4 linked regions of the Stegostoma tigrinum genome follow. The protein of the gene in region 1 purifies or fractionates together with the protein of each later gene. This does not show direct contact. Links are inferred from orthologs where the notes say so. Each region holds a gene or a part of one and is shown on either strand. Other genes may lie near its edges. The genes, in order: fus, ddx42, sf3b3 and heterogeneous nuclear ribonucleoprotein Q.

Evidence for each region.
Region 2: the proteins of fus (region 1) and ddx42 purify together in Homo sapiens (affinity purification with mass spectrometry; 3 studies listed by BioGRID and IntAct, with this or other methods). This does not show direct contact. The link is inferred for Stegostoma tigrinum from reciprocal best matches to the Homo sapiens genes FUS and DDX42.
Region 3: the proteins of fus (region 1) and sf3b3 purify together in Homo sapiens (affinity purification with mass spectrometry; 3 studies listed by BioGRID and IntAct, with this or other methods). This does not show direct contact. The link is inferred for Stegostoma tigrinum from reciprocal best matches to the Homo sapiens genes FUS and SF3B3.
Region 4: the proteins of fus (region 1) and heterogeneous nuclear ribonucleoprotein Q purify together in Homo sapiens (affinity purification with mass spectrometry; 3 studies listed by BioGRID and IntAct, with this or other methods). This does not show direct contact. The link is inferred for Stegostoma tigrinum from reciprocal best matches to the Homo sapiens genes FUS and SYNCRIP.

What each region holds. Positions count from the first base shown.
Region 1 is NC_081403.1:1,175,607-1,182,454, forward strand, and holds the start of fus (RNA-binding protein FUS), read right to left. Parts: upstream 3,002-6,848; 5' UTR 2,987-3,001; coding exon 2,956-2,986; intron 270-2,955; coding exon of another isoform or gene 267-269; coding exon 233-266; intron 140-232; coding exon 1-139. UniProt on the Homo sapiens protein: DNA/RNA-binding protein that plays a role in various cellular processes such as transcription regulation, RNA splicing, RNA transport, DNA repair and damage response. Binds to ssRNA containing the consensus sequence 5'-AGGUAA-3'.
Region 2 is NC_081384.1:40,117,830-40,125,018, forward strand, and holds the start of ddx42 (ATP-dependent RNA helicase DDX42), read right to left. Parts: upstream 3,025-7,189; 5' UTR 2,796-3,024; intron 1-2,795. UniProt on the Homo sapiens protein: ATP-dependent RNA helicase that binds to partially double-stranded RNAs (dsRNAs) in order to unwind RNA secondary structures. Unwinding is promoted in the presence of single-strand binding proteins.
Region 3 is NC_081369.1:5,608,536-5,615,413, forward strand, and holds the start of sf3b3 (splicing factor 3B subunit 3), read left to right. Parts: upstream 1-3,863; 5' UTR 3,864-3,972; intron 3,973-6,878. UniProt on the Homo sapiens protein: Component of the 17S U2 SnRNP complex of the spliceosome, a large ribonucleoprotein complex that removes introns from transcribed pre-mRNAs.
Region 4 is NC_081362.1:29,838,118-29,845,051, forward strand, and holds the start of heterogeneous nuclear ribonucleoprotein Q, read right to left. Parts: upstream 3,002-6,934; 5' UTR 2,887-3,001; exon of another isoform or gene 2,719-2,886; intron 1,959-2,718; coding exon 1,796-1,958; intron 1-1,795. UniProt on the Homo sapiens protein: Heterogenous nuclear ribonucleoprotein (hnRNP) implicated in mRNA processing mechanisms. Component of the CRD-mediated complex that promotes MYC mRNA stability.

The sequences.
Region 1 (6,848 bases):
CGAGCTGTAGCCCCCACTCTGGCCATACGCCGACGAGTCCCCCGACTGGCCGTAACCACTGTAGCCCTGGTGGCTGTAGCCTTGAGGTGGAGGCTGAGAGTAGCCCCCCTGGCTGGACTGGGCGTTGTAGGCCCCATAGCTGTGAGGGAGAAAGAATAAAAAAAGAGCGAGTTGGGTGACATGCTAGGAAGAGACACAAGCAGCAAAACAGTCACTCAACAAACAGACTCACCTCTGAGGAGCCGACTGTCCATAGTTCCCAAGATCTGCTTTTAGGAAAGAAACAAAAAGGTGGCTTCAATTTTTTAAAAATAATTGAAGAAAACCATATTGCACCAATTTTTAAACCAAGTTAATTTCTCAGTAACACAGAAAAATGAAACAAGTTACAGGAGGATCCTTCAATTTTTTTTAAGCAAGAGATTTCTGACAAAGGGTCTAGGCCTGATATGTCAGCTTTTGTGCTCTAAAGATCCTGCTTGGCCTGCTGTGTTCATCCAGCTTTACATTTTGTTATTGCAAATGCTTTGTTCAGGCAGAAACAGCTAGATACCTGCATAAGATAGATTGTCAGGAAGTAGACGGGGATCTGATTTATTAAGGGCATCAATGGCTAGGTCAGCATTTATTTGCCCATTTCTCTTCACCCTCAGGAGTAATTCAGAATCAACCGCATTTACCATGGGTTGACAGTCATACATAGGTCAGGCCGGGCACATTCGTTCCACAAAGAACATTAGACAGATTTCTCTTGACAATCAATCAACACTTTGTGGACAGATACCAAAACATGACCTGGGTCTCTGGGTTAATAATAATCACAAATGAACCCAAGTAGTGAAGCAGACTCAAGGGGCGAGAGCCCTAATCCTTCACTAGGTCCTACATCCAAACTGCAATTTGCAACAGATCGCAATGGTTGGGGCACAATCCTGAGATTACTACCACTGAGGTCCAGCCTGCAGGCTGTCCGCGACAAACTCTACAAATTCCTAGCACCACTTTGTTGGTCAAGTTGACCGACATCAGTCAGAACGTGCAACCACTGACACCCCTTTTGAACTATCATGGCCTTCTGAACCTTCTCAGTGACGTTGACCACTCACTTAGAACCTCCCCACCTTCCTGCACCTCATCCTACCTCACCTCAAGCAGAGGCTCTCCCTGCCACAGCACTGAATGCAGACCAACACAAACTGAAGACCAATCTAGCCTTAATGGCGGCCAGCAGAGATTGAACCTAAGACAAAGTACCGGTCAGAGATTCTAAAAGCGTCAAGATCATCTGTTACTGAGGGCAACAGGTATAAGAGGTCTTGCTCCAGATGTTTAGAGCTTTGGTGTACAAAGAATTCAAACAGCCCATTCAGTCTCTCCGCATAATTTTAGACATTTCATATCCTAGCGAAACTCCACCGCACTCTTTCCAGTGCAATCAACCATTCTTAAACTGCACACTACATCCCATTTATGGCCAACCAATGTTTCGGGAAGACACAAGACTTCTTTGTTCCTACACTGTAAGAGAAGCCCAAATCCTGGACCAGTTACCACTGGTAGGATCGACGGAGTCAACAGCATAGCTTGAGTAGAGGAATGACTCTAGAACTGAGATGGGAGGAAATCTTCAGCCAAAGGGTGGCAAATCTGTGGAACTCATTCCCACAGAAGGTTATGGAGGGCAAGTCATCGAGTGTCTCAAACAGGGACAGATACGTTCAAGATCAGTAAGGTGATCTAGGGTTGCAAAAACAAAGATACACAAGGGAGACACATCAGCCATGATCGAATGGCAAAATAAACTTGATCGGTTGAAGGGGCAGCACAATGGGATGCCTGCCTGTGCAAATTTCACACATTCTCCCAATGTGCTTCAACAGCATGCTTTGATTTCCCACCTCAAGGCCAAAGGTATGGACATCAGATGGATTGGACATGCTAACTTGCCCAGTGTCCTTGGGATGGGCAGGCTAGATGCATTATGGCTGTGGGAAGTGCAGTGTGACAGATTAGGCAGGATGGGGGAAAAGGTGGGTAGACATTAAGTTCTTGAGAGGGTCAGTGTGAATTTGACAGTAGAAATGGCACACGTCCATGCTGTCAGGATTCGATGACTGGCGTGGCCACATATCTCTCATGGCTTCATGTCAGACCGGATCAGCAGAGCGGGCTCATTTGGGGGTGTGATGGAGGAGCTCGTAATCCCATTCATTTTGGGAACCCCAAACGGCCACTGGGAGCTGCCTACCAATTTGAAGGGTGGACACTTTGGGACTAGAGACAGCACGGTGAAACCACAAAGCCGTTCCTCAGGGTCTTCCCTGTCGGAGGCATCGGCTTTGAGGGCGCGGAGTGGATTGTACGTGGAAGAGAGGGACTCCAGGGTTAAGGAGGACTTGGGGATGTGGGACTCCAAGCCCCGCCCCTTTGCCCCCTCCCCACACAAGGCAGCGGCGTGATGACGTCACCGCGCCAGCGAGGGAAAGGAAAGTAGCGGGGATGGGAAGACCCCGGATGTAGCCTCCATAGCCGAGGCGCTTAACACGACGCAAGGGGAAGGGGCGGCCACAATCCAGCGCCATCCTGCCTGGGGGAGCGTCAACCGAAACGATGGCCAGCGCCACGGGCGCCGGGAGAGCGCGGGGGAGGCATCCGCGGCGTCGGATGATGCAGCCGACGGTGCGGATGGGGTGGAAACACAAGGAACGGATTAGCGGGCGCAATCGGCGAAAAGATGGCCACGCCAAACACCGTTTCTTCCCACACCGGCCCCGCCTATTTCTACACAACACATCCGGAGGGGAGAAAAACGGAGACGGCATCCTCCCGCCGAAAAGTCGCTGGATGGCGAACAATAAGAGACAGGGACACCGCGGGAACAAAATGGCGGCGGCCTTCCCTCTCCCATTAAAATAAAAACGTTGCGCACTTTCCTCATCGTAGCCCACCACCCACCCCAAAAGTAAAACCCATCCTCCTCCAACATTTAGAACGCGAAAGGGAAGGTTTTAATACGCCCAGACTTGGCCATTTCCCCCAACCGCTGGGAACGACTTATTCTTCTTTCTGATCGATTTTAAGACAAAACGAACAGAAAATGGCGCCCGGCGAGGAAAAGGGGGAGGGGTAAACAAAATGGCGGCCGACCTAAAACAATAAACGGAGGCTCAAAACGTCGCTCCCTCCGCGTTTTTCACGTTCATAACAGCCCTCCCGTCCGCCGGAGGAAAGCGGGCCGTGAAAACGACATTTCTTTCACTCTTGCCTCTCTTCCCCTTCAGCCCACACACCGCTTCCTACCCACCAGCCTTACCATTGGACGCCATTTTTGCTCTCTCCTCTCGCTCGGAGCTCCGGCTCCGACTGAGCGTCTCAGCTCCGAGAGGGGCCGGGTCTAGACGGAGGGGGCGTGGCCTTGGGCCTGGGACACATCAAGGGAGAGACAGGGGGGAAAGAGGGCGCCACCCTCAAACCGCGATGGGTGTTTTCCGTCCATTTTCGTTCTCATCATCCGTCCACTGATTAATTGTAAGGTTATTCCGCCGGAACAATCGCAGGTGACTGTTCGTCTCCGTGGCGGATTCGCTCTTTCTGTATTTCACAGTACCGCCGTTCCCCCCTCTCGCTAGAGTTGGTACAGTCAGCGCCGAGCATGTATGATCACGTGATCTCACGCTTCATGGACAAAGGACTGCACCATCTCCCTTCCCGTCGCAGGCGAGGGAATGGTACAGCCGGCGGCTCGGGCTCTACCATCGTGGGGTAGGGAGGACGTCGAGATATTCATCACCGTGAGAATGACCACGGACACATTCCACAGCTCAGCCTCTGACTCAGACAGTTGACAAGAACTTTTCTGTCCTCTCTGAGAATCTGGAGTCTCGGTTCAGTTGAGATTTTAGGCTAGATAAATGTCCTTCCGGCTGAAGACGACCCCCTCAGGACGAGATGAACACTTCCAGGAGCGCTCCCCTAGCATGGGAATGGGGGGAAGGGAAAGACTCGACCATGACACCTTGGGGGAGTACTACAGTGTGTTGTCAACGGTATCCGTTTCATAGCCTATTTTAAGAAGTTAATCCCGCCGGAGACCATGAATCCCGCTACGAAATTTTCCGCTCTAAGGTTTCAAGTCGAACAGAGACGTGAGACTGAATGTGCACATGACCATGGATACCACCCCGCCTTTCCCTTCCCCACTCTCCGCACACACACCCACCCAAACGCGCAGCGAGGTTGCACGGAGTGGGCGGGGCTCGTAGGCCACCGAAAGGTCACGTTCCGTGACTGGATTTTTATGAATGAATTTGGCGCGCAAATGCCTGATTTCCCCCCTCTGGACCTGGTCCCTGCCCCCTCCCTTTTGGGGTTTGGAAAGCGGGAGGTCAAGGAGCTATCCAAGGTCATTCCTGATGCCCATTCCTGGAGGGTTGGGCTATCAACATATGCATAGCTGCCAAGCCCTTACACACATTGTTTTGTTGGGACTAAGTGGGCGAAGGGAGCTTGAGAAAGAGGGAGATGGGCTGAATGGCCTCCTTCACCGTCCTGACACGGCTCTCCCGCTGAAGGGATAGCTGGGGTTCAGGCGGGGTCCCAGAGCGCAGGAAAGTGGCCAACGCACGTCCCCCGTTTAAGGAAGGAGGGAACCAGAAGACAGGAAACAATGGGCCGGCCAGCCTGCCCTTGGTCATCCGTAAGATCTGTTGTCGGGGGGGGTGATTGAGGAGTACGTGCAAAGTGCATGCTAAAACAGGGCTTGGTCAGCACAGAGCAGTCAGGATCCTTTAGAGGAGGTAACGGGCATGTTAGGCGACAGAGAGCCAGCGGACGTGATCTGTTTGGATTTCCAGAAGGTGCCACGCAGGAGGCTCTCGATAGAACAGGACCCCATGATGCGAGGTGCGTGGAAAGGGCAGATAAAACGTGGAGCTGGAGTCCTGAGCCGAAACGTTGACTTTCCTGCTCCTCGGCCCGCCTGTGCCCCTCCCGCTCCACATTTCATCGGCTCCAGCTTCTGCAGTCCTTGCTCCTTCCTGGGCGTGAGCCCTTGACGACTAGAGTTCCGCAGGGAACACAACTGTTCACGTTATACAAGAACAACCTGGATAAAGGAACCTTTGGAAGGGTGATCCCGGGAATGAAGCAAAGGGGAAAGACTGCAGAATGCTACAGTGCAGAGGGACCTGTGGCACTTGATCGCGAAAAGCCTGAAAGCTGCAGAAGTCTTTTTCCAACAGTATAGACCACGCCACATGTGGAGCACTGTGTATCATTTATGTCCCAGGGTTGAGACAGGGGGAGCAGTAGCTATTTCAAACAGGTTGAGGCTGAGACTTCAGGGGTTGAATTCTGAGGAGTGTTACACAAATTTAACCCCTTTTTCGCTTGAGTTCAGAAGGTCAAGGGGCGATCTGCTGGGACTCTTCAAGATAGCAACAGGAGAAAACTGGGAGGATAAACTATTTCCGTTTGCTGCGGACTCTAGAGCCATGGGCTGCCCAGTGGCTCAGTGGTTAGCACTGCCGCCTCCCATGGCCAGGGACCCGGGTTCGATCCCACTCCTGGGCGAATGTCTGTCTGTGTATGGTTCCCGCCACCCTCGACCCTCCACTGCCAACCCACCCCATAGTGTGCAGGTGAGGGCAGATTGGCTGTGGGAAATTGTCCCATAGTGCCCAGGGATGTGCGGGTTAGGGTGGGATTGGCCGATGGGAAATTGTCCCTTAGTGCCCAGGGATGTGCGGGTTAGGGTGGGATTGGCTGATGGGAAATTGTCCCGTAGTGCCCAGGGATGTGCGGGTTAGGGTGGGATTGGCCGATGGGAAATTGTCCCATAGTGCCCAGGGATGTGCGGGTTAGGGTGGGTTGGCCGATGGGAAATTGTCCCTTAGTGCCCAGGGATGTGCGGGTTAGGGTGGGATTGGCTGATGGGAAATTGTCCCGTAGTGCCCAGGGATGTGCGGGTTAGGGTGGGATTGACCGATGGGAAATTGTCCCATAGTGCCCAGGGATGTGCGGGTTAGGGTGGGTTGGCCGATGGGAAATTGTCCCTTAGTGCCCAGGGATGTGCGGGTTAGGGTGGGATTGGCTGATGGGAAATTGTCCCGTAGTGCCCAGGGATGTGGGGGTTAGGGTGGAATCGGCCGATGGGAAATTGTCTGGTAGTGCCCAGGGATGTGGGGGTTAGGGTGGGACTGGCAGATGGGAAATTGTCCCGTAGTGCCCAGGGATGTGCGGGTTAGGGTGGGATTGGCCAATGGGAAATTGTCCCATAGTGCCCAGGGATGTGGGGGTTAGGGTGGGATTGGCCGATGGGAAATTGTCCCGTAGTGCCCAGGGATGTGCGGGTTAGGGTGAGAATACAGTGTTACACGGGTAGAGTATGGGAGTGGGTATGGTTGAGAGGCTTTTGGAGGGTTGGTGTGGCCTCGATGGGCCAAATGGCCTGAGTTCCCACCATAAGGCCTCTATGATTGGGGGGCGACATATTCTGAGAACGAGGGCCAGATCCCTGAGGAGGAGCCGTTACGATGCGCTCTGACATAAAAAGAGGTGACAGACAGAATAGAGGGAACGCTATTCCACAAAGTGCAGTGGATGCTGGACTCATTGTGAGTACTCAATGGGAGATGGATAAATCTTTGTTCAGGGATACAGGCCAATGGCAAGTATAGTTACGCCACACATCGGCCATGACCTCAGTGGATGGCAGGACAGACTCCGCGGGCCGAACGGTCTACATCCCATTCCAATGCAGATGCTGTGCGTCAATGGGTCAGACGAACAAAAGGAAGCAGATCACCCTGTGCCCAGAGACAGTGCACTTACCAGATCGCATTTTCCCT
Region 2 (7,189 bases), on another chromosome or scaffold:
ACAACTGCACCTCCCAGTCGCAAACCATTTCCACTCCCCCTCCCATTCTCTAGATGACATGTCCATCATGGGCCTCCTGCAGTGCCACAATGATGCCACCCGAAAGTTGCATGAACAGCAACTCATATTCCGCCTGGGAACCCTGCAGCCTAATGGTATCAATGTGGACTTCACCAGTTTCAAAATCTCCCCTTCCCCTACAGCATCCCTAAACCAGCCCAGTTCGTCCCCTCCCCCCACTGCACCACACAACCAGCCCAGCTCTTCCCCCCCCCCACCCACTGCATCCCAAAACCAGTCCAACCTGTCTCTGCCTCCCTAACCTGTTCTTCCTCTCACCCACACAACCAGCCCAGCTCTTCCCCCCCCCACCCACTGCATCCCAAAACCAGTCCAACCTGTCTCTGCCTCCCTAACCTGTTCTTCCTCTCACCCATCCCTTCCTCCCACCCCAAGCCGCACCCCCATCTACCTACTAACCTCATCCCACCTCCTTGACCTGTCCGTCTTCCCTGGACTGACCTATCCCCTCCCTACCTCCCCACCTATACTCTCTCCACCTATCTTCTTTTCTCTCCATCTTCAGTCCGCCTCCCCCTCTCTTCCTATTTATTCCAGTTCCCTCTCCCCATCCCGCTCTCTGATGAAGGGTCTAGGCCCGAAACGTCAGCTTTTGTGCTCCTGAGATGCTGCTTGGCCTGCTGTGTTCATCCAGCCTCACATTTTATCATCTTGGAATTCTCCAGCATCTGCAGTTCCCATTATCTCTGGGTCCGTGGTGCTGTGAGGCAGCAGTGCTCACCATTCAGCCACTGTGCTGACCAATTGCAGGATTGTGGGCATTTTCAATGAACACATTCAACAGTAATACTGACAAAAGGGACAATTCTCAGGACACTCTTTACTCCGGTCAATATTGTTCAACAGCAGTTGTCATCGAGAAAGATAGACTCACCCAAGACCCTCCCTACTTGCTATCATAATATCTGGACTCTTAAATAATCTGCTTTAGTAGTACAGCTGTACCTGGGAAAGCTTAAATAAAACAGCACTCTCAACCAGGCCTATAATTCACAATGCAGAAACAGCTCAAATAGATTTCAACTTTGAGACAGTCCCTTGGCCACCACACAAAAATTTTTAATATGGTTAGTAAAATATTTGGAAGTCAAAATTACACCTCTGCCAGTCTGTTAACAAGGTAACTAGCAAACAGACAACACCTGAGAAGAATCATTAACATTTCAGATCAAAGCCTTTCAGGGAAAAGAGGGAATTATAGACCAGTTTGCCTGACATTGGGAGCAGGGAAAATGCTTGTGTCTTTATTATATATTTAATAGTGCAGTACTTGGGAAAAAAAAGTGGCATGATTGGGCAACGTCAGCATGGATTTACTAATGGGAAATCGTGCTTGACAAACCTACTGGAATTTTTCAAGGACCTTACTAGTAGAATTGTTGAGGAGAGCCAGTGTTTGGTAAGGTCCAATATAAAAGGAAACAACATGGGATTGGGATTAGTGCACTGACATAGATATTGAACTGATTGGCAGACAGGAAACAAAATAGGAATGAACAGGTCATTTTATGAGGGAAAACTATTGACCAATAGGGTTCAACAGGGATCAGTGCCTGCATCCCAGCTGTTCATAATATATATTAATGGTTTAGATTAGGGAAGTTTGTAGATTATACAAAACTGAGGGAATTGCTGGGAGGAAGAGAGATGCTATGGTTTGATTTGGACAGTTTGAGAGAGTGGGGCAATGTATGGCAGATAAATTGGAATATGAATAAACGTGAGGTTATCCACTTTGGTAGCAAAAACAAGGATGATTATCAGAATGGTGATAAATTGGGGAAGGGGAGAAGTGCACTGAAACTTGGAGACGTTGCACACTAATTGCTGTAAGTATGCATGCTGGTGCAGTTGGCAGTGAAGAAAGCAAAGGTTGGCCTTCATAGCAAGGCAATATGACTACAAAAGCAGGGCTGTCCTGGTGCATTTTAAGGCCATAATTGAGGTATTGTGTAGAGTTTTCATTTGATTATTTAAGGAAAGATGCTATGTCTTAGGAACGAGCACAGGAAATGTTTACCAGATTGATTCGTGGGATGCAGATAGAACCGTATAAACTAGAGATTGAGAATGTGAAGAGATCTTATGGAAGTCTATAAAAGTTTAAGAGGATTAGATGGAACAAATGCAGGGTGTTCTTGTTGACGGGGGAAGTCCAGAACTAGAGGCCAGCCATAAGACTGAACAGAAATGCCTTTTCCCACCCGAGTGGTGAACTTATGGAATTCTGCCATAGAAAATAATTAACAGAAAAACACCATCTCTTCAAGGAGTTCGACATAGTTCTTAGGGCTAAACGGATTCGAGGGTATGAGGAGAAAGCGAGAAGGGGCTACTGAGTTGATGATCAGCCACGATCATATTGAATGGCGGATCATACTCGAAGAACTAAATGGCTTTCACTTGCTCCTACTTTCTATCTGAGAAATGCGTTCGAAGGAGTCTCCGATCCAAATTCTTCCGCGGATTCCCCCTCGTTAGGCCTGTCACGATTGTAATATTAACTCGCTTGGCCAGCTCTAGGTACCTGCCGGTGCTCGGTATTTAAGCAGGACAGGTAAACGGTGCAGGTATACTGCTTAGATTTAATTGCTCGTGTTCGCAGTGTTGTAAACACCACCCGGGACGGGGAGAAGGCCCAGATCGAGCGGAGGGTCCAAATCGAGGCCCCAGGAGCCTACACTAGGGAGGACGAGCACTTGGCAGTTACACACCTTGTGACAACAGCCCGACCCTTTGTCTGCCCTCGGCTGCAGGCGCCACCCGGCCCAAGGAAATGGAGAAAATCCTCGAACGTCGTCGCCACCACCGAGCCGCAGCTCCCCACGCATGCGCACCCCTCGCCTCTTCTTTCCCCCACCTCACACATTTCACTTTTTTAAAAAACTGATTATTTTCCATTCATTTCTCTCAGAAATTGCCGGGCAGTGGAGGGAAACTTATAAATTCTGTATTTGGAGATCGCACAGTGCCACTTACGAAACTTCTTTTAATCAAACTGCCTGACGTCACTAGGTCAAGGGGTAACGCGGTTTTCCGGTTACTTTTGTTTTCGGAAATGACGCTGGAAACCGCAAAAGAGGCCGGGAGAAAATAAAGATGAAGGAAAAATAATTTCTGACTGACAGAAAATTTCAAAATACGAAAAGAGTTCAGGTCCGTGGTCTGGCGATGTCTAGGACCAAGCCGTGGCCGGTGAACTCTGACCTTATTTGCCGAAGGGTGGCGATTGACAGAGCACTAATCCAATCAGAGATAGGGACCTGTGGTACCGGACATGTCAATCATGGGTTCGGTGCCAATCGAAATAGTGATAGAAGGCGGGATTTCCGCAGGTGGCGGGTAGCCGTGAAGAAACGGGAGACGGCAGCGGCGGGCTCACGAATTGAGGTGAGTACAGGGACAAGATTGAGTTGACTCGGCTTGGCCCGTGGGGTTGCAGAGATAGAGCCACATGTATGCGGTTCTGAGGAAAGGTCACCGGACCCGAAACGTTAACTCTTCTTCTTCACTGATGCTGCCAGACTCGCTGAGCTTTTTCAGCAACTTTGTTTTTGTTCCTGATGTACAGAATCCACAGTTCTTTTGGTTTTTATATGCGGGCTATATTGACCAAACAGTCTGACTCTGCAGCATTAACCTGCGGCCAGGGCTGACTGTCAGAAAACGACAAAAACTCTTTACACTGCTCAGCTCAACTCAAATCAGCGCTGTGGGAGCGCCGTGCCAGAGGAGGGCTAGGAGCCTGTTTTCATGTTTTATGAGATTCAAAAATGTCTTTATGCCATTCTTTTCCTTTCTTGAAGTGTAGTGAGCTGTGCAAGCTATCGTGTATGTGGACGCCCTAAAAAGAGCAAATGTGTTAAATAATCAATGAATTGTTGCTAGGTATTAATGAACACCTATGTGTTTGATGAGCCTGGCATGGACTTCTTACTGTGTTTTGAAAAGTTGGTTTACCCTTGATTAGTTAGATTGAATTGCACTATAAAAACCTGAATGAATTGATAGTATCTAATAAAACAGTGCTCCCTGTAAATTCTGTCTGAGGGGAAGTATTTCAAAAAATGGTCATTGGAAAAAGTTGCTATGTAGCATTTACATTAAATCAAGTTAATCGGGCAGAGTCAGGATGGTTTTGCAAAAGGGAGGTCATGTTTGAGGAAGTAATGTGCTGTGGATGGAGGGGAACACGTAAAAAACTGAACTTGATTTCCAGATGGAAATTGTGAAAGGTTATTGTGGAAAATGAAAGCTCATGGTGTAATTGCTAGCTTATTGTCATGGTCAGAACTTTGACTGGATAACTGGAAGCAGAACGTAGGGTCTCTTTCAGTTTGGCAGTATGGAACGACTAATGGGCTGGTGCTTGGACCTCAACTGTACAATTAATAGAAGTGACTAGGATGAAGGGATGGACTGTTGCCAAATTTGCTGTTATGCACGTATATGTGAGAAAGTGACATAACAAGGAGACTGCAAAATGATGCAGGTAGATTACGTGAATGGCCAGGTGAAGTATAATATGGGGAAAATGAGAAAAATGTCTATCTTAACAGGAAGGATTTTAAAACAAAAAGACAACTCATCTAAACGGTGAGACACTGCAGAGGCCAGAGATGCAAAAAGATCTGGGTGTCTGCTAGTACACTAATTGAAAAAGTTTAGAATGCGGGTACAGCAGTTAATTAGGGTAACTTATAGAATGTTACTGTTTAATGCAAGAGGATTTAACTACAAAAATTGTGAATGCATATCTAGCATTCTGTGTACTGTGTTCGTCACTTCATTTACAGAAGCATGTAAATGCTTTCTAGTCAGTTTGGAGACTTACCAGACAAATAGCTGAATTGAGTGGATTGTCATTTAAGCAAAAGTTGGACAGTCTAGGTTTATTTATGGTGGAGTTCTGAAGAGCGGGGTGGGGGGGTGATCTTGATTTAAAACATAAGACTTTGAGAGGTCTTGACTCAGTAAGTATAGAGCTGGTGTGCATTCTTTTATTAGAGTTAAGAACTAGGGGTTACTGTTTAAAGCTCAGACGTCACCCGTTTAAAATAATCTGAGGTTTCAGGTTCTTTAGAACTCTTTTGAAAATGTGGTAGCAGAATCTCTTGTATTTTTTAAAGCAGACGTCGATAGATTCTTGATAACGGGTAGAAGATTGGAGTGAATCGATGACCTAGTGGTATTATCTCTGTTAATCCAGAAACCCAGATAATGTTCTGAGGACCAGGGTCCGAATCCTGCCAGGGCAGATGGTGGAATTTGAGCTCAATAAATACCTAGAAACAAGAATCTAATGATGACTGTGAATCCATCATCAATTGTCAGGAAAAAACCCATCTGAATCACGAATGTCCTTTTAGGGAAGGACCTGCCATCCTTAGCTTACGTGTGACGCAACCCACAGCAATGTGGTTGACTCAGCTGACCTCTGGGCTGTTAGGTATGGGCAATAAATGCTGCCCAGCCAGCAATGCCCTCCTCTTGTGAATGAACAAAAAAAAGGAAGAAATGTAGAACTGTGGTTACAAAACAATGGATTGAATAACCTACTCTTGCTCCTTCATATTGATACTCTGGTGGGGTACAGTAATTGCATCTTCCTCTCCTCCCATACCATGTTCCTCATTCTGTAACCCCAAGATGGTGTCATTAACTCTGACACTGAGTAGGCTGTCAGGGGACTTGTGTTCTGGGATGCAGAAAATAAGAGACTCCAACTGTACTGTCTTCTACGCCCGGCCACAACATTGCATTTTATTCTCAAATTCAATGGCTCCTGTATCAGTGGTCACTTTTGCTTATCCTCCATTTAGCCCTGGCTATTGGGGTGGCACAGCAACACTGGTCAGCATTATTAGCTCGCTGCACCAAGGACCTTTGTTCGATTCCACCCTTGGAACTGTCTGTGTTTGTATGTTCTCCCCATGTCTGCATGCCTTTGCTCTGGCTTCCTCGCACGGGATAGGGATAGGGTGGGTCTGGTTTGGATGTTTTTCAGGAGGTCAGTGTGGACTCGATGGGCCAAATGGCCTGCTTCCACACTGTAGGGATCCTATAATTCTTTAAGCACAGTATCAAGAAGCTTGAACTTGGGTGGATATGTGTCAGGGTTGTAGCTCATTCATTGCTATCTGATCTCTCACTGCTGCACGTCATCTTATGAAAAAAATGTGAATTACTTAGCCCCAGGGATGTGACTGTCTCTCTGAATACAATACTGAATTAGACCCCTCAAACTTCTTTTTCTCTTCTCCCCCCCCCCCCCCCCCCCCCCCCAGCCTGCACTTTGTGTGCATTTTTTCTTCAAAATATAGGGCAGCACAATGGCCCAGTGGTTAACAATGCTGCTTCAGTGCCAGGGACCTAGGTTTGATTCCAATCTCTGCTTGGAGTTTGCACGTTCTCCCCATGTGTTCCAGGTGCTGCAGTTTCCTGCCACTGTCCACAGATGTGCAGATTAGTTGGGTTGGCCATGCTAAATTGCCTATTGTGTCCAGGGATATGCAGGCTAAGTGGAGTGACCATGGGAAATGCTTGGTTACAGGGGTGGAGCGGGATGATTTGTGGATTCAATGGGCCAAATGCGGCTACCACATTGTACGGATTCAGTATCTCGCACCACCACCACCATGACCCTATGTATAGCAGTGTTTTAAATTTGGACTCTAGCTCATCAACTCTGAGGTGATGTTTCTCAAGCTCTGGACACTTACTGCTGATGAAGTTGCCATACAGTTGGTGTTGATCACTAGCTTTCAGAAACTGGAGCAGCATCACATCACTTGCATCTTAGTTTTCTTGATTAGTGTTTCAACTTTTGAAATGTGGCTCAACAATTGTGTGAAGTTATGTTAATGATTAATGATTTGCTGTGGCTAAGGTGATCAACCTTCAAACAGCAAAACATCCTCTTTATGGAGGTGAAGATCTCTTTAATTTTTCAGGTTCATTGTAGCATAAAAGGAAACTGTTCAGTCCAATGAATCCATGTTGGCTTCCTGTACAACAATTCAGTTAGATCTTTTTTCCTCCACTCTATCCTCTTTCCCTGAATGTTTCTTTTCTTCAGATGCCAGTCCAGTTTCCAAGTGACTCAGCA
Region 3 (6,878 bases), on another chromosome or scaffold:
CAATCCACGGTACTTATGTTTTTTGATCTCCAGGCTCGCACTATTAGTCAGTTTATGGGGTGTGACTGTTGGTGTCTTGATTTGGCGGGTGCATGGAAGGCTGGTGTGCATGATGCATGTGTGGTTGTCCATGATTGCAGCAGCAGAGGGAGAGGTGATGGAGGAATCAAAATGAAATTAGTGGAAGCCCAACAACAACTTTATCTTCGGTGGAGCGGAGAGTTCGGGTGGGAAGGATAGGACGGGAATAGCACCTGAGGGATTTGCATGGCAACAGTAGGTGAGTTGGTTATAAAATACCATGATTATTTTCTATAACCTAGCTTTGTAAATCACTGTGTTAAAAATGAAGATTTACCAAATTTTAATGAAAAGTTTCAGGAAATCAATCAAGTGATATCCCACCATTCAAACTTAGACTCAAGAAAGAAGGGTTACTGGACTCGGAAAATTAACAATGTTATTCTTTCTACAGATGCTGCCAGATCTGCTGTGTTTCTCCAACACTTTCTGTTTTTGCTCAAGAAAGAAGCAATTTGTTGACACAAAACTTGAACACCAAACATTTTAAACTGCTTCAGTGATGGACAGTTTTACAGCAAAATGTCAAGAGTGTTTCTTCCTCAAACGAAACTGATTACACCACAAGCCTTTTCAATGTAGGGAAAACAGTTCCTAATTATTATCCGCTACGACTGTAAAAAAATTTGCAAGGCCAGACCAATGTGGTTTTGCACATTTTTTCCCAATGAAAAGTTAAAGAGTTCTGTTGAAGTATTTGGTGTAAGAAAAACTAATGTACTGTTGTAGTAAAGACCACAAATGTTTTTAACAACTTTGATGGTTTAATATGAAACATTTTAAGTATTGAACCACTGCAGCCTATGTGGTGCAAGTGCTTCCACAGTGCTGTCAGGGAGGGAATTCTAATTTAGAGTGCAATTATAATCAACAGATTCAGGAACATATATATCTTTAAATTAATTCCTCTGCTACTTTAAGGAGACATTAAACCATTTATTGAAAACCAGAATGTATGTCCACTCAAATAGTTATTAGGGAAACTGGTTGTGAGTGTTTTAAAATTATTTTATATAAAGGGAGAACCAATTGATGTGATGCATTTGTATTTTCTGTGAATTTTTTATAAGGTCCCTCTTAAGGGGTTAATGGCCAAAATTAAAGCACATTGGATAGGGGTAATTTATTGATGTGGATTGAGAATTGGCTGACAGATAAGAAACAGAGTGAAAATAAAGGGGTATTTTTCCAAGCGGCAGGCAGTAACTAGTGGTGTACTGCAAGCATTGATGCTTGATCAGCTATCTACAGCATGTTGAATGACTGAGAACATTCCCAAATGCAAATTCCCAAATTTGCTAATGACATAAAACTGGGCTGGATTGTGGTTTGTGAGGAAGAAGATGGAGACTTCACTGTGATTTAGACATATTGAATGAATTGGCAAATACATAGCAGGTGTAGTACAATGTGGCTCATTATGAAGTTTTACACTTGTGAAAAACAGAAAGAAAGAGATTTTGGTGGTGATATATTGGGAAGTGTGTGTACAAAGGGATCTGGGTGTCCTCGTATATCGGTTGATGAATGTAGACAGGCAGCTGCAATAGTGAGTAGAAAGGAAAATGGTACAATGCAAGAGGATTTGAATTCAGAAGCAGGATGTCCAACTGCAGTTATACAGACCATTGGTAAAATCATGCCTGCAGTTTTGTATGTAGATTTGGTCTCCCAGCCTAAAAAGGTTTATACTTGCTATAGGATGAGGTTTACTAGGCTGACATCAGGGATTGCCATATGAAGAGAGAGTGGTTCAACTGGGGTTTTAATTCACCAGAGTTTGGAAGGATACAAGATGACCTGATTAAATTGTATACAATTAAAACTGGGCTGAACGGATTGGATCCTTGGTTAGACAGTCAGAACCAGAGGGCATAAACTAAGGATAAAAATGGTGAGCCTGTGAAATTCTCTACCATAAAAGGCTGTGGAGGTCAAATCACTGAACACATTCAAGAAAGAGTTTTTTTTAATTTATTTTAATGGCATCAAGAGGTTTGGGTGGAAATCAAGATGATGGAATTGTGACAGAGGATCAGCCATGATCACGTTGAACGTTGGAGCAGGCTTGAGGGGCTGAATGCCTTCCTGTCCCCTAGTTTCTAGGTTTCTCCAACTTAAGGCTGAAAAGAAATGTCAGCAAGCTCATTGGTTCTGTAATGAACAAACGCCATACCAAACTTCATCTCCAAAGTCAGTGAAGAAACACAAGATTTTTATTATTTCACTGCAAACTAGATGTTTAGGAGAGAAGTGCTGGGTTGGCTCATTTTCACTGCATTTCTCAATGCTACGCTTCTTTGAAGGCATCCTGATGAATGCCTTCGAGTTCTATGTTGGGCAGCCCTTTTAATAAGACAAGGATAAATCACTTTTGATTCCACTAAGCCTTCACGCACAGTAAAAACTAAGATTTAACTTGACAAATGGACTTTCTCCACTATCCCACGATAACCAGCATGAACCTTCCCCATCCATATGATTCCCTTTCAAAATAAATTTCCTCTTTTCTTTTTCTGCTATCTCAGGCTCATGCAGGGATGCAATTTCAGCAGATAGCTCTTGTTTCCTCTGTTTTAGGAACATAGAAATCAGCCATTGGGTCCATTAAGCCTGTTCTGTTATTCAATGGATCATGGGTGATTTTTTTACCTCTGTGCCATTTTACTGTGTCTTGAACATCCTTAATGACTTTTAAGGTGTAAAGAAAAAGAGATTTTAAAAAGACGAGGCAAATGTTTTACACAGAGAGTGGTTTATCTGTGGAATGAACTTCCAGGGGAGGTAGTGGATTGTGGGTACTATCACAACATTTAAAAGACATTTGAATAAGTACATGTATGAGAATGCTTTGGAGAGAAATAGGCCTGGAGCAGGCAGATGGGACTAGTTTAATTTCGGGTTATGTTTGGCATCAACTGGTTGGACTGAAATATCTGTTTCCGTGCTGTATGACTCTATGACTGAGCTTTCTGAGATTCACCAGCTCGGGTGAAAAAAAGCTTCCTCCATCTCAATTCTAAATTGCTTGCCCCTATGTTCGGAATCTGTGTCCATTGGCTGCAGATGCATCTCCTTTTGCAAACTCTGTAAGAATGTATAATGCTTCAATTAAACCGTCTTTCATTCTTCTAAACTCTAGAGGTTACAGGTCCTTTCCTCTCCATCTTTTCTCACAGGTCAATACCATCATCCCAGGAATCATCCGATGAATATTTGTTGTATTTGCCAGTGACAGGTATATCCTTCCTTCAGTAAGGACAGTCCTGAATCAAAAACTAGAGGCGTGTTTTTAAGAGGAGAGGAGAAGCACTTACAAGGGATCTGAGGGGCAACTTTTTTCCCCCCACACATAAGGTGGTTTGTCAGTGAAAATGAACTGCCACTGAAAGTGGTAGATGCAGGTACCGTTGCAACATTTAAAAACACATTTGGACAGGTACATGAAAAGGAAAGGTTTAGAGGTGTGTGGGCCAAATGCAGGCAAGTGGCACTAGTGTAGTTTGGAAAACCTGGTCGTCTTGGTCAAGTTAGACCAAAGGTATGTTTCTTTGCTGCATGTCCTTATGTTGTAGAGTAGGCAACTTAGCGTTCTAGGGCATTGTCTAAACGAGTGCCTGAAAATATGTTATACATCAATCTGTCTTGTAACTGTATTTGTAAAATTGGTTATTAAATAAATATATATTTCAGAGCCGGAGGTCCGGTGTTGTTTGATTCGATTCTTTTCTCGCGGCATACTGCGCATGCACAACTGGGCACAGGCCCCCGAGTTGGCCACCTATTCAGGCAGCAAGGACCCCAGGCCGGGAGCAGCGGGGTTGGTGACATTGAGGAGGATGGAGCCAGCAATCTGACGGGAAATCGGTGGCATCCTGCGTCCTACAGCAGGTAGCGCCGATTTTTTTGACTCCGGGAGCTCGGGCGGTGCTGATTTTACCAATATTGCCTTTCGATGGTTTCCCGTGGTTGTTTTTTGAGCCACGGTGGGCAGGCTGGCTTTCGGGCCTAAAAGAGGCGCGGGTGCAGGCCGTCCTGCTTCATGAAGGCGGGAAGTCGGTGAGGCCTCTTTAAGGAGGGGCAGATAAACTTGAAGCAGCTCCTGCAGTTTGCCGATGGTGGCAGCAATTTCTTTTTAAAACATCCTCTGGTACATTGGTCGCTGCCATGCGCAACCTAGCTAGTCGTGTTAAATCTGAAAAGAGAGGTATAACTGGATCAAAACCTGCCAACGCACAATTAGGGAGCGAAATATTAGTGGAGCTGCAGCCTCGGTTCACTGCGAACTTCATACAACTTATAGGCTTCACTTGTCCACCTCTTGTGCTTAGCATCCTCATTGCTGAAGAAAATGAGAAACACGTGGATTTGCGAAATGTTAGGAAGTGGCTTCTGCTAACCAGGTGCCCATTGTGAGCCATTATCTGCCAGATGCACATCTTAAATGTGGCCATAAAATGGATCTATTACACTTATTTTTCCCAGTCCAAGCCTTTAAATTAGGGAAGGGTGGTTGTGAGTTCGTATGTTCATCCGGTTTCTGCTGTGTCTTGCTGTTCAGCTGGTTGAAGATAACACGAGAGGGAAAATGGTCCTTGGACTGTGGTTGATCCCTGGGGTACAGAGGAGGTCAACATTTAGGTTGTATTTGCAACAGAGTTCTTTCAGTTCGAATTTGGGGATGTTTGCCAAGGAAAAAGTTCTAGGTTGATGGATCTGCTGTTGGAATTAGGGTACTTGAGATTAGTATTGTGGATGCTGAGCTGGCCCCAAGGCCAGACTCTCCTGTCTACCTTTCTGCAGCCCGACTTCCCACTATTTACTTCTGGGGCCCCCTCCCCCGTCTCGACAAAGATTTTCAGCCCAAAATGTTGACTTTCTTGCTCTTCTGGTGCTATCTGACCTGCTGTGTTGTCCGCCTCCATGTTTATTGACTCAGGCTTCCAGCATCTGCAGTCCTTAACGACTCCTCTGCCGTTCATTGTGCGATACCCAACGATCTATTGATTTTTTTTGTTGGATACACTCAGCAACTTGGCATTCAAGTTCTGGGGCAGAGGATTATAAAGATTCTTAGCCCTCAGTGAAGAAATTTCTCTTCATTCTGAGAATGACTTTGTGTTCCAGATTCTACAGCCAGCAGAAATACAGTCTCCCCATCTCCCCTATCAAGGCACTTCTGAATTCTAGTTCTTAATTAGATCATCTCATTATTTTAACCTTTCAGGGATCCGTGCCTATTACTCAAATAAAGCTGTCACCAAGTAATATATTAGATCTCATCATCAATGTCACTACTTGAAGGTTAGAATAGAACAATAGATCTGTTGAAGATGTGGCAGAATTTATGCATTTTTTGCAGTGAAGTGATATTATTATAATATTAATATAAATTATCAATAACTTTTATTGATACAGATTAGTTGTGGCTGGAATAGATTTGTAGAGAGATAAATGTAAAATCAGTACCAAATACAGAATTCCCCTTGATACTTGTAATGGTGTTAACTGTCATGTTTATAGTGTGAGATCTGTGCTTGCATTGTGTTAACTTTAAATTCTCAAAACTGTTAACTTTGTGTGCATTTAATTAAAATTGTGGTCAGAATCCTTAAAGATGTCTGATTTTTCAAAGAGGATAGAATGTAGCAGCTAACTTTCCTCTTTGCACGTGCAGTGAATTTTTTACATTTAACCAAGATGAGCCAGAGTTTTGAATACCTACTGGCATCCCCTAAGTAGACATAGTACGTTTCTTAGCCAAAGATAGTAATAACTGCAGATGCCAAAGTCAAAGATAACACGTTGTGGAGCTGGAAGAACACAGCAGGTCAGGCAGCCGCCGAGGAGCCGGAAAGTTGACGTTTAAGGTCGTTTCTTCATTTTCTGGAGAAGAGTTCTGACCCAAAACGTGAACTTTCCTGCCCCGCTGATGCTGTCCAGCCTGCTGTCTTCCTCCAACTGCACACACTTATTGCCACATTTCTTAATCAGTGCTTTTTTGAGGCTGGCCTGTTTATGTTGACAGATAATGTTGGAATCTGCAAAGCAGTGAGTTTTACTGAGATGCCTATTGTTGTGCGGCTATAATTGTTTCCTCACGAGTTTGGTTTGTAACTAAAATTTTTTGCTTTTTATTTGAGTATATGTTTGGTTGTGTGTCCTTGTTGCATACTTGCTCTTGCCTTCTGGTGGAGTTGGGTATGTGATCTTTGAAATCTGTTTGGTATTTATGGAGTGTCAATTTATTAACCAGTTACAAAGCTGGCAATTCAAATCAGTTTCCCAACCCAAGCTTTCGAGCTGACATTTACTAATCTTGCCTGAATTTGTTTCATGTTTGTATGTTGCTCTATTGCCTTTCTTCCATTCTGTCACCCAGGTGGCCATTTGTCATGTGAGCTTTTGAGAGCCAGCGTGTTGCGTTATCCTGCTGTGTCTGCAACCTGACTTCTTTTTTCAAGCAGGGATAAATTAAATAAGAAGCAGTAGTGTAGAGACGGGTGTATTTTCCTTTTCGTACTCAAGACCACCATTACGCCTCATTTATCGCTCTGGTTGGAGTCAACCAATTTAGAATACGTGCAGCTCTTTGAACTTAATGCCTCAGAGAGCTACAGCTGGAGTTTCGAATCTCTCTTCACCCTGTATTTTTGTGGCGATGGCTTATTTTAGACCTTTTCTAACCTATCGTTACGTTTTAGGGTGGTGTTTTTGTGGGAGAAAGTTGTTCCCAAACCGGGAATTAAGGTGACGTTTTCTTTTCAAAACTGCATGTGTTCGATTTGTAGATTTGC
Region 4 (6,934 bases), on another chromosome or scaffold:
TATAAAGATAGATCCTGGGGAGACACCAGAGGTTATGGTGCTGGGACAAGAAGATAGTGCAAGTGATTTGGCATGAGAACAGTCCCACTTAGCAGAATGACAGTGGAGGTGGTATAGCAATTGTACAACCAAATAAAGATGTAGACCAGGGCAATGAGGATGAAGGAGGAAAGTTTACCATCATCACAGCCACTCAGAAACCAATTTGTGACTTTAGTAAGAGCCTTTTGGCACTACTGCATGAACAGAAGCCTGAGTGGAAGGATTCAAGCAAAAGGTTTGGGAATTCAAGAACAGATATGGGAGGTGGCAATGAATCTGGAGGGTTTTGATAAGAAAGGCAGGTTGGAGTTGAGCTGGAAGTTTGCAAGGGCAGTCAAGTCAATTTTTTTAAAAAAGGTTAGGGTGATGGAAAATTTTAAGTAAGAGGGAGTACTATTGAGGGATAGAACTCATCAATTAACATGGAGGCCTTCAGGCGATTAGAGTGGAGTTGGCAAATCAGCAGTAATAAGTTTCACCAATAACAGAAGAGACAGGACAGACATAAGTAATTTTAAGAAACTTCAGGGGATTCCAATATCCAGCATTAGGTTAGGCAGTTTTTCAAGCAGAGTAGTGAAGGACATTTCCCACCAATTTCAGAATAACCTATAGCTGAAGGCTCAAAGGCAATATTTCTTCAACAAACTTTCCTGGAAGAAGCAAAATAACAGGTCTATGATATTCAAAGATGAAGGGAAAGGAACCTTTTGTATTTAAATTTTATTCATGGAGTTAACTAGATGAAAAACAACTTAGAGCTCTTACCACTAGATGCTGCTAAAAATATGGAGATAAGAATTGAGCAACAAAATCTAGGCCGTATGTCAGGCAACTAATCTATCAGAAATAACCCCTCAGTGGGTGTTGATGATCCCATGAACCTGTTGAACAGCAGACACTCTCCTAGCCAACTGTAATCTCAATTAACATTATTGCAATGATAAGATGTTGAGCTGGATGCACAGCAGGCCAAGCAGCACAGGAGCAGCAAGGTTGACGTTTCGGGCCTAGACCCTTCTCTAATATTACTGCATGATTTGTTTTAACAAGTTTCTTGTTAAATGGAAAAAAGACTGGTGGGTTTAAATCTGCCTATACTTCAATAATGACTACAGTACAGAAGTATTTTATTGTCTATGAAGCATAGTGGGACATCAAGATTAGCATGGTTCACATTCTCTAAACATCTTCAGACTAAATAATAAAACAGTCAGAACGGCAATAAGAACAAGACACAGTTCTTTTCTGCTGTGATTTAAGAGGTTGAAGTTAACTTATGACTCAGCAGGCTCTAGCAGAAACCAAACAACTCAAAGGAAGCAAATCATGATCCGTCTCTGCAGGCTTAAATGTAACACTGGGCAATGCCAGTGCCTGCATGACAATATGGTGAATTTCAACCTTTCAAGAAAACTATCCATTTTGTTCTCTACGTGAACGCTGGCTCTGAGATTAACGCAACAAAAAGATAGTTGTTTTACTGATCTTGTCACCTTATTCTTGCATACATATTTCCTTTGTCTATAAATAGATGAAGATCACTTGCAGGATGAGTCAGTCCAAGCCACCCCCTGTATTCCACGAGAATGCCAGCAGTGTTCTTTCCTTGACGTATCCCCATATTTTTAATGGAATTGAAATTGCATAATCAACACAAAATGGACACAAGAACGTATCAAACTGAAACAGGTAACAAATTGATAGCAAGATAAGTTTTAGTACAGAGTACTCATGCAGTTTGCAACCATACCTGCTAAATACATCTCATCTAGCTTGTCCGCAACTTTCTTTGGTAAACCAGCACTTAATAAAGTTTGATAGTGTTCAGATCGAACAACGGCAGTGGAAGTATCCATCGGCTCTTCCGTACCATTTCCATTCATATGCTCGGTAGCCATTTCTTCAGTAGACATCTGTACACGTGTACACATAAATGAAAGCAAAAATAGGCGCGGTAATGTCTTAGAAATTGATAGCCCTAAATTGACAGTCCTAAAATTATTAAAACATTTAGAGCGGAAAAGGACTAGACATGACCAAGCTGGCTAGGAATCATATTGCCAGATCCGTTTGCAGTGATCTCAGCTTTAGTCATCGTTCCCAGCCCAGCCAGCGAGCTTGCATTAGTAATAGACTCCAGTTCAAAGATAAATGACAAATGATAAAACAAGCCTTTTCGCCTCCTCGAATGGAGCACGATAGCGAATACCGGTTCACGAACATATGTCTGGGATGCGGCAACAGCGGGAAGTGCCGGCCAACTAACACTCCGTCCAGTAACTGGGAAAGGGATTCACCGACACCACTCCAAAGTAGTCAGGGCCACGGAGGGGGAAGGTCAGATCGGAGAGACGGGGGAAAATAAAGGAAGTCAACGCGGTCCTGTCTCGTTCCAGCTTTCCCCTGCCATCCCGCAGCCATGTGACATAGACAAAGGCTACAGTCCGGCCTCGAATCCCGGAGCTAAAAACTCCACCCCTTCGATTTACGGAGTACACACTCTGCTCATTCAGTACAGCAGAGGTCTCAGTGTCCAGGCCCCGGCCCACGCCTACCCAGAGTGAGGCTCCGGGTCTGCCTGCGGCCCATGGATTCGCTGACACTGCTCGATTTTCGGGCACGGTACCAGCCCCCTCCCACCCCGAGTTACAACCAGGGACAACACCAACTCACATGCTGCTCTATGCCAGCAAAGTCAAGTAGATGTGATGCCGGCTGATACTCCCCAAATCCCTCCCTGTCAGTTGAATTACTCTACCTTCCCCTTTCCGTTCTCTCACACACCGACCTACAAAATGGCGGCACGGCACACACCTCCCAAAGCCCCCAAGTTCCACTCACGCGTTCTCATGGTGGGGTCTCCCGACCTGCCCCGCAAGGACATCATCAATGGTGGGCGCGGCCCCAACGTCAGGTCCCGCTCCCTCATCTTTTCCATTGGGTACAAACAGCTGGTGACCACGCCCCCAAAGATGAATGACAGGGCTCCAAGGAATGCATGATCACGGAGTGGAAAAGCCCCGGCTCATATCGAGCTGCAAACCGTTGAATCTTTTCTTCGTAAAGGATAAAGCCAGTGCCATTCCTATTTAATCTTTTAGATCAGATATCAATGCAGAGATTTTGTGAGGCACCCTCGCGAAGACCAATCATAGGGTTGTACGACTATAGAATGAAACCATCCGGCCCATAAGATCGTATGATTTCGGAGCAGAATTAGATCATTCAGCTCATCGAGTTTGCTCCGTCATTCGATCATGCTGATATGTTTCTTAAACTCATTCTCCAGCTTTCTCCTTGTAAACCTTGATCCCTATTCTAATCAAGAACCAATGTGTATCTTAAATTGACTCATTGATAGGACCCAACAGCCTTCTGCATCAATGAGTTTCACAGATTCACCACCCTGGGCAGAATAAATTCTTCCTCATCTCAGGTCTAAAAGGTTGTCCATTCATTCTGAGGCTTTGCCCTTGGGTCCCAGTCTCTCCAACTAATACAAACATCTTCTCCACATCCACTCGATCGAGGTATCTCAGTATCCTGTAAGTTTCAATCAGATTCCCCCTCATCCTATTTGCATGTTTTCCCTCATCTCTTTGTTTCCTTTCCAAGAGGTCACCTGGGTGCCAAATCCTCTAGGAGCAGTCTGGAAGGCAAAGCCGGAGTCTGTTTAAGTGCATAACAGTAAACTTACTGGTGCAGAGAATACTGCAAAACTAAAAAAACTAATTAATTTTAAACAATTAACTAGGTAGAGGTGGCAGGTCAGATCATGTGTTGCAGCTGCATGATGTGAGAAGAACTAGCTGATCCCATCGAGAACAGCAGTGACCACATCTGCAGCAAGTATTGACTGTTTGACCTCTGGCTCAAAATTGATGAGCTAGACTCTGAACTCCAAACACTGCGGCACATCCGGGAGGGGGGGGCGAGATACTTGGATGCTCTGTTCCAGGAGGCAGTCACACCTAGTAGATTAACTAATGTTAATTCAATTGGCAGGCAGGGACAGCAGTGTGTGACTGCGAGTGAGGAAGGTAGAGGGACCCTGCCGAGAGGAACACAGGCACAACAACCTCTGACATTGTCCCACAGGTATGAGGCACTTGCACCCGTGGATGAGGCAACTGACCAAGACTCCATGGTCCAGGAGGCCATTCAAGAGGGGGGAGCTGAGAGACAGATCATAGTTGTAGGGGATTCCATCATTGGGGGAAAGACAGTATCCTCAGTAAACAGGATAGAGAATCCTGCATGGTGTATTGCCTGCATAGTATCAGGGTGTGAGACATCTCCAACCAGCTTGAAAGGATACTAGAGAGGGAGGGGAAGGATCTAGTTGTTGTGGTCCACATCGGTACCAACAACATAGGCCGGATGAGGTGAAAAGACCTGTTTAGGAATTATGAAAAGCTAGGAACAAAATTTTAAAAAAAGGTCTTCAAGGGTCATGCTCTCTGGATTGCTGCTCGAGCCACGTGCAAATTGACATAGGGAGGTGAGGATCAGGGAAGTGTACACGTGGGGCACTGGCATCAGTTCTGGAACAGGAGGGATCTACACCGCTGGGATGGATTCCGCCTGAACAGGGCCGGGTCCAGTGTTCTAGCGAAAAGGGTAAATAGGGTGGTCAATAAACTAGTAAGCGGGGAGGGAGAAGGGAGGAGTAAGCGTACAGGGAGTATAACAATTAATGCAAGGCAAAACAGCAGGTTAGCGGGTGACAAGGAAGCTTCAACTCCATTGAAAATTAGGAAAAAAGGTAATGGGAAGGAGAACTCAACAGCTGTTAGTAATGGAGGTGATTGGACTGAGAAAGAAGGTGCAAAAGCTGGCATAAGGGCACTTTATCTGAATGCTTGGGGTATTCGAAACAAAGTGGATGAGTTGAGGGCACAAATCATGGCAAATAGGTATGATTTAGTGGCCATTACAGAGACATGGTTGCAGGATGGTCATGACTGCGAGTTAAATATCCAGGGGTATCAAACTGTTCGGAAGGACAGACAGGAAGGTAAGGGAGGCGGTGTTTCTCTGATTTTTAAGGATTATATCACGGTGGTAGAGAGAGATGATATAGGTTCTCCTGAACAAGAAGTTGAATCGATTCAGCTGGAAATTAGGAATAGCAGGGAGAAGAAGTCACTGATAGGTGTGATCTATAGGCCTCCAAATAATGACATCATTGTGGTACAGGCAATAAACATAGAAATAGCTAATGCATGTAAAAATGGTACAGCAATCATCATGGGGGATTTTAATCTACATATCGATTAGCCAAACCAGGTCGGTCATGGCAGCCTTGACGAGGGATTCATAGAATGCATCCCTTGAACAATACGTAATGGAACCTACAAAGGAGCAAGCTATCCTAGATCTAGTCCTGTGTAATGAGACAGGAACAATTAATGATCTCAAAGTTAGGGATCCTCTCAGAACGAGCGATCATAGTATGGTCAAATTTAAAATACAGATGGAGCATGAAGCATAAATCCAGTACCAATGTTCTGTGCTTAAACAAAGGAGACTATGATGGGATGAGGGAGGAGTTAGCTAAGGTAGAATGGGTGCAAAAACTTTATGGTGTGTCATTTCAGGAACAGTGGAGGACTTCCAAAACAATTTTTCACAGTGCTCAGCGGAAGTATATTCCAATGATAAGGAAGAACTGTAGGAAAAGAAATAGTCAGCCATGGATGTCTAAGGAAATAAAGGAAAGTATCATATTTTTTAAAAATGCATACAAAAAAAAGCAAAGATTAGTGGGAAACTGGTAGACTGGGAAATCTTTAAAAGGCTATCAGAAAACCAGAAAAAAGTTAAAGAAAAGTAAGATAGATTATGAGAGTAAATTAGCTCAAAAAATATAAAATCAGGCAGCAGAGTTTTCTATAAATATGTAAATTGGAAAAAAGTGACAAGGTAAACATTGGTCCTTAAGAGGATGAGAAGGCCAATTTAATAACTGGGAATGAGGAAATAGCCAAGGCATTAAACAGTTACTTTGTGTCGGTCTGCACAGTGGAAGACACAAATAACATACCAAAAACTGATCGCAAGAAGGTTATAGCAGGTGAGGACATAGAAACTATCATTATCACTAAATAGGCAGTGCTGGGCAAGATAATAGGGCTAAAGGTAGACAAGTCTTCTGGCCCTGATGAAATGCATCCTAGGGTACAAAAAGAGGTGATGGGGAAAATAGCAAATGCACTAGTAACTATGTTCCAAAATTCACTGGACTCTGGGGTTGTTCCCACAGATTGGAAAACAGCCAATGTGACGCCACTGTTTAAAAAAGGAAGTAGACAAAAGACGAGTAACTATAGGCCAGTTAATTTAATTTCGGTAGTGGGGAAAATGCTTGAATCCATCATTAAGGAAGAAATAGCAAGACATCTAGATAGAAATTCTCCCAGTGGGAATACCTAGCATGGGTTCACGAAGGGTAGGTCATGTTCAACTGATTTGGTGGAATTCTTTGACGACATTACTTGCATGGATGGGAGTTTGCTCGCTGAGCTGGAAGGTTAGTTTTCAGACATTTCGTCACCTTTTTTTATTTGAAAAAATGTACTTTATTCATAAGATGTACAAAAAATAAAACATATTTATACACCTACTCAGTCATGCAAGCTGCTCCGGGTTACCCAGGGGGTACACACATCAACTAAAGGAAAAAAACAAACAAAGAAGAAAAAAAAACCAAAAAAAACAAACAAAGAAGAAAAAAAAACAAAGAAAAGAAAAACACCCCGGCAGTCGTCACCCTGCACAGTCCCAGTTGGCCCCCTGACCAGTTGGGGAAGGCGCCAGCTGGGCCCAGTTACCAGATAGAGCCCTTTTTTCTATTCTGGACGAGGGGTTTCATACCGTGGTCTTTCCC